2 linked regions of the Oryctolagus cuniculus genome follow. The protein of the gene in region 1 interacts with the protein of each later gene in a pairwise test. Links are inferred from orthologs where the notes say so. Each region holds a gene or a part of one and is shown on either strand. Other genes may lie near its edges. The genes, in order: LSMEM2 and LSMEM1.

Region 1 (3,271 bases):
CCCAGCCCATGCATGGGAGAGCACGCCATGCCTGCAGCCCTCCCCGCCTCTGGCCCTGCGTGCTTCCCTGCTGAGCACAGCAAGGAGGATTAGGGGGAGCTGCCTGCTAGGGATAAGTCAACTGTGGGCTGTGCCCAAGTGGGTGTTGGCATCCGGGCAGCTGCCTGGCTATTAGCTTTCTTCAGGAAAGGAGAGAGGCTGGGGTTGGGGGTGGACATTAGTTCCAGGAAACATGTGGGCGCTTGGCCAGGACTGGGAAGCAGAGAGGCTTCTGGCCTCCTCCAACGTGGGCTTAAACATCCCCCACTAGTTCAGAGTTGGGGTCCCCTGGCCTATTCAGAGACCCTCAGCTAGTCAGCAGCCTGTTCCCACAATGCTTATGGGTCCACCACATCTCAGTGCTGGGCTCAGAGGGGCCACAGCAGTAGGGATCCAGGAAGCTACAGGAAAGTGCCTGGGTGTGTGGGGGGGCCTGCATAGGGCTCCCTGGCCCACAACTCTGCTTGGTGTGGCTGGCCAGCTCCTCTCACCACATTCTCAAGTCTGCACTGCAGGAGGGGAGCCTGGCCCTGGTAGTGCTGTTTGCTTTCATTTGGGGTCTTAATATTTACTGTGTGTTTTTCCTATAGCCGACTCCCCAGTAGGATTTAGAAAGCGTGGGAAAGCATAGCAAAGTGCAGAGAAGGAACTGTATGTCTCAGACCAGCATCCCGACAGAGTGACTAGCACCGCGTTTTTGTTTGACGTACTCCGGAGCAGGGCGAGGCGTAGTTTCGACCTGGTCGGGAGGGGTGAGTTACTGGCCTGAGCAGGACAGATCCAGAGCTCCCAAGGCTGTCCCTGCACACTCAGGAAGTGTCTGCCCACTTTATTAGCTACTTTCTAGGTGTGCATCTGGAGCTCTTAAAGGACCCAGATTTTAAAATTCAAGTCAACAGCCAGAAAAGAATGTAATTAAATTATTTAGAAATCACAAACTAGACTTCAATGCACCTGAACAATTAACATCACAAGGGAAGTACACAGACCTCAGGGACTACACAGGCCGAGGTGATGAATGGATCATCAAGATGTCTTTTCTTTTTCTCTCCCTCTCCCTCTCCCTCCCTCACACACACAGTGTGGTCACATTCCCTAGGCGAAGTTGTCCGATCAGACTGATGGAGGAAGGCTATTTCTAGTCTTCCAAATGAGCACATGTGCACATGCAAAATATTTCCTCAGTGGGGATGCTGAGTGGTGGTGATGTTGCACTCTGGAGGGCTGTGGACAGCTCCTGTGGAGGACAGTCTAATGAAAGGTTTCACACACACACACAGGAAAATCTTGCTCTTGGATCAGTGTTCCTCTTCTGTAACTGTCCTTAACTCTGGGGAAACAGAGGCGCCTGCACACTGAATGGTGGGTGTGAGGGGGTTGATTTCCAAACGGAACTGCAAACAACCTAGGGCCTAGGTAGCTGACAGGGATGCCTGGAGGGAGCTGAGGCCTAAGAACCAAGGGTCCTGCAGTGAAGTGGACCTAGCAGGCCTTGTGGAAGCAGAGCAGCATCACGGCGAGGCTGTTACTCGCTGGACCGAGGCCAGGGGAAAGGGCACCACCGTGGCTAGAATGGAGCTGCTTCCCAGAAGGTGCCGGGCACGGGGCCGCCTGATGGCTACCTCACAGGGTCTGCATGGACTGAGTCGGGATGAATTCTGCATGCGTGGATTGGTCCTGCAAGGCTGACCCACTGCTTGAAGGAGCAGGCACGGAGTACTTGAAGCCCCTTGTGTGGGAGCGGTGCACCTCCTGTCGCTGTGCAGAGCAGGTGACAGGGGTCTCTGGTGGTCCTGCATCTCAACCAAGGGTCGTTCCTCGATCAGTTTTAGGGGACGTAGAACCAAATGCCTTCCTATTCCCCATCTTCCCCAAGCCCCTGTGGCCTGAGGCCACCTGGGAGAAGGGAGGGGGTGAGCTACACCAGCTGAATCAACCTCACACTGCCCCTACAGACACTGTGGCATCAGTGCCAAGCCAGAGGAGCAGGGGGCCGCTGGCCCCCAACCACGTACAAGAGGTGCGCCTGCACCGAGTGGAGTCCATCAGTGACCTGGACAGCGGAGGTGAGGGGGCAGAGGCGTGGGCTGGAGGCACTGGGGGCAGGGAGGGAGCAAGGGCACTGCCCCCACCCCGGTGTCCTGTTCACCCCACAGGCTCACTGCACCCCTACCTGACTGAAGAGACTCGACCTTGGGACGAGCTGCTGGGTGTCTTGCCCCCGTCACTGTGTGCCCAGGCTGGCTGCGGCCCCGTGTGTGGCCGTGGGGGGTTCCTGCTGCTGCTGGCGCTGTTGGTCCTCACCTGCCTGGCGCTTGCCGTCCTGGCCGTCTACTTGAGCGGTATGTACGTGGAGCGGGAAGGTGGGGTGACAGTGGGGACCAGAGCGACTGCAGGTGCTGCAGCAATGAAGGGCGGGCCGGGCGGCCTGAGGCCTGCAGATCCCGACTCCCACTTGCCCATCCCCAGTGCTGCAGAGTGAATCCTTGCGTGTCCTGGCGCACACGCTGCGCACGCAGGAGGAGACGCTGCTCAGACTCCGCCTGGCCAGCCTCAGCCAGCTGCGGCGGCTCAACTCCAGCGAGGCCCAAGCGCCCAGCTGAGACACCACTTGGACCTGGGGCCTGGGTGTGTGTGGGGGGGAATAAAGCTGCCACTGGCAGGTGTTTGCCACGGTCAGCACGTCTACTTGAAGTCCTTGGTGAGATTTTATATACACAGGTTCCCGTGCCCCCCGACTTTCAGGCCAGGCCTGGCCATGCTTTCTGGTGCGTCCTGCTTGGGTGGCCCCAGGTCAGAGGAGGGGGCGCCAGCCTCCAGGGGGGATGTCTCTGCTGGCCTGTCAGTGTCCTCTGGCCACCCCCGGGTGGTTCCGAATTAGCTAGAATTAGCTGCCACTCTGCTGGGCCTCCCAGTGGGGGTCAAGCCTCGGCTCTCAGAGACGGTAGGAGCCGGGATCACCTGAGAAGACGCTGCCTGGCGGGGCAAAGGTGAGACTGGGGAGACTCCAAGCCCGGGGTATGGCTGGGCGTGAGGGCTGGCAAAAACACCCAGGAGTGAGGAGCATGGAAGCTGAGCATTCTTTTAATTATCTTGAATCATCTTTAAAAACAGCATACAGATTCAGTCCAGCTAGCCTTGCCTCCTTGCTGCCACCCCCCTAAGGAAGTGGGCCACCTCGGGGAGCAAGGCTTGAGAAAGGAAAGGGACAGTCCCCTTCTGCACAGGCCTC
Region 2 (2,693 bases), on another chromosome or scaffold:
GCCAGTTTTCTCACTGAACCCTGTACACAATCATGGGGAATTACTTTGATTTTTTTCTCCAGATCATTTAAGAGCAGAAGGAGTCTGAGGGGGAGAGTGCCGCTTTTGCTGGGTTGCATCATGCTGTCATTTCTTCTGCCCTTTCCTGCCTTCAAACATTCTGAAATTGTACTCATGTGGAGGGAGATTTCCTGGGGGAGAAATGATGTCACATGTTACAGATGACTTTAGCTCCACACTTTCCCCCAGAAGCAAGTATTTTTTCTGCATAGCACTGCAGCTGTGTCCAAGACTCATGTCTTGAACCATATTTTATCCAACATAATTTTTCTAACTTGAGCAAGACATAACTGTTGGGCATGTGAATCTTTCATGTTTGTTATCAACTTAGCCCAATAGCCAGCCTGTTATCAACATTATCAGCCTCTGAAAGATGCTTTCAAATAAACCTCAAAATGGAAATGATAAGGAGCTCAAATAGAAAGCAGTGATTTTGTTCTTAGTTCTTGGAAATTTTAACTCTGATAAACAGATCTCCTCCAAATGTTCCATTCCCTTGCTTAACTGTAATGCTGAGTATTGCTTGTTTGGAAAATATTGTGCCTCTTTGCTCAGGAGTGGTCTGAGGAGAATTATTACACATTCATTACAGGCTGGTAATTCAGAGCAAACAAATCAAAATAGGATGGAACTTGAAGAATGTCATTTACCCAATGATTGGGATAAATCATTTTCTGAGAATGGCTGTAGAAATGAGACAATGCCACAGTCACTTCTAGGGAGATAATCAGACATGCTGGCAATTTCTGTTGGCCACTCACAATGATCAATTTCTCAGCCAATGTCTGTGTGGAGCTGCCAATGGGACTCCAGGCTGGCATCATTAGGTTGTAAAGATTTTAGCTCCCTTAATAGACAGCTTCAGTCTTTTTTTATTATATTTTTTTTGACAGGCAGAGTGGACAGTGAGAGAGAGAGAGAGACAGAGAGAAAGGTCTTGCTTTGCCGTTTGTTCACCCTCCAATGGCCACCGCGGCAGGCGCGCTGCAGCTGGTGTACCACACTGATCTGATGGCAGGAGCCAGGTACTTATCCTGGTCTCCCATGGGGTGCAGGGCCCAAGCACTTGGGCCATCCTCCACTGCACTCCCTGGCCACAGCAGAGAGCTGGCCTGGAAGAGGGGCAACTGGGACAGAATCCGGCGCCCCGACTGGGACTAGAACCCGGTGTGCCGGCACCGCAAGGTGGAGGATTAGCCTAGTGAGCCGTGGTGCTGGCCGGCAGCTTCAGTCTTAACCAGTTTCTCTCCTGGCCTCCGGGACCCAGGGATTTGGGAACAGAGAATTGGTCAAGGGTGGCTTTCAGTGTTCAGCTGTGCACCAGTAGAACTCACTGGAAACCAGGGTAACACTGTTTTCCATTTTGAAGTCCAAACTGGAAACAGGATGGATGACGTGTCAAGACGACTAGTAGCTGAGGGAAAGGACATAGATGATCTGAAGAAAATCAACAACATGATCATAAAGCGACTCAACCTGCTGGATCCAGAACAGAACTGAAGAGATTTTGTGAGAGCAACTGCTAACACCTCAAGACTGAGCAAGTCATTTCTTCAAGGCAGCAGATTCTCTTAGCAGAGAGCCAGGCCTGTGCCAACCTGTGGCAAGCAGGGAAGGGAACAACTCCAAGGCAAACAGGATTGGGGAGAGCAGCTAGAAAGGGGGGTACTTCTCACAGTCTCACCTTCGGTAGGGTGCTTGAGACTTAACGGGGTGAAGAGTGGGTGGCTAGTGTGAAGGAAGATCCTGAGAAAACAGAATTGATCTGCATATGTACAATGTTCCTCACAAAAGGGGCATTGCCGCTGGGTTGAGTTCGCTGTGCCAGTTTGGTTCATTATGTCTCATGGAGCTTAGAAAATTCCTGCGAATGCCTAAAGAATTCATTGAGCTCTACTCAGTGTTGAAGAGAACCAGGTGGTCATTCTTTTCAATAAAGGTGCTTCTGCTCTGTGGCTGATTAGATGTTGACTTGTTTCTCTAGGGGCTGTGATGCGTGGGATTCAGAGCTGGTTTACCACCTGATACTTACTGGTGAAAACATGAGCAGTAGTTTTGTGGGTAGAGGTGGGACCAGGGGTCAAAAAGGAAAGACCAGGCTGTTAATTCAAGTGATGTTTACTGAGCTCCTAGTCTGTAAATCATCCTACAGGTGATCACATTCACATGTGGGACAAAGGAGATACATAGTTTTATAAATCCCTCAGCAGCCTACCAATTATTTTGGAAAAAAAAAATCTGACAGAATTGTGTTTGCTAAGCTATGGTATGAAATCCTGTGCTTGGAACATTTGGAACTTGCTTTGTTTTAGCACAAAAAACAAGGCACAAAATATATGACTGGGGTTTTTCAAATGAGGATATAGGACACAGGAATATCCATTTTAAGAGCATGCCGCCCAATAGCCTTGCATTCCTATTTTTATTTAGAGGCTACCAACAATTCTAAAAGCTAACAGGCACATAGGCAAGGTTATACATCAACTTAAGGTTTGGGAAAAAGAATTTGGTCTGGTGGTCTAAGATAGGAATTAGAGCTGTGTTATAAATCTTCAGATACAGGCCTTTTTAAATACTCATGTAAATTTACAAATTCCCAAAAAACACCCTAGCTACCAATTAACGTCCATTAG

What was found.
Region 2: the proteins of LSMEM2 (region 1) and LSMEM1 interact in binary tests that used the Homo sapiens proteins (3 or more experiments, as listed by UniProt). The two-hybrid records come from large-scale screens. The link is inferred for Oryctolagus cuniculus from reciprocal best matches to the Homo sapiens genes LSMEM2 and LSMEM1.

The regions. Positions count from the first base shown.
Region 1 is NC_091441.1:99,046,705-99,049,975, reverse strand, and holds LSMEM2 (leucine-rich single-pass membrane protein 2), read left to right. Parts: upstream 1-1,544; 5' UTR 1,545-1,690; coding exon 1,691-2,105; intron 2,106-2,195; coding exon 2,196-2,381; coding exon of another isoform or gene 2,382-2,508; coding exon 2,509-2,642; 3' UTR 2,643-2,718; downstream 2,719-3,271.
Region 2 is NC_091434.1:131,179,232-131,181,924, reverse strand, and holds the end of LSMEM1 (leucine-rich single-pass membrane protein 1), read left to right. Parts: intron 1-1,429; coding exon 1,430-1,560; 3' UTR 1,561-2,023; downstream 2,024-2,693.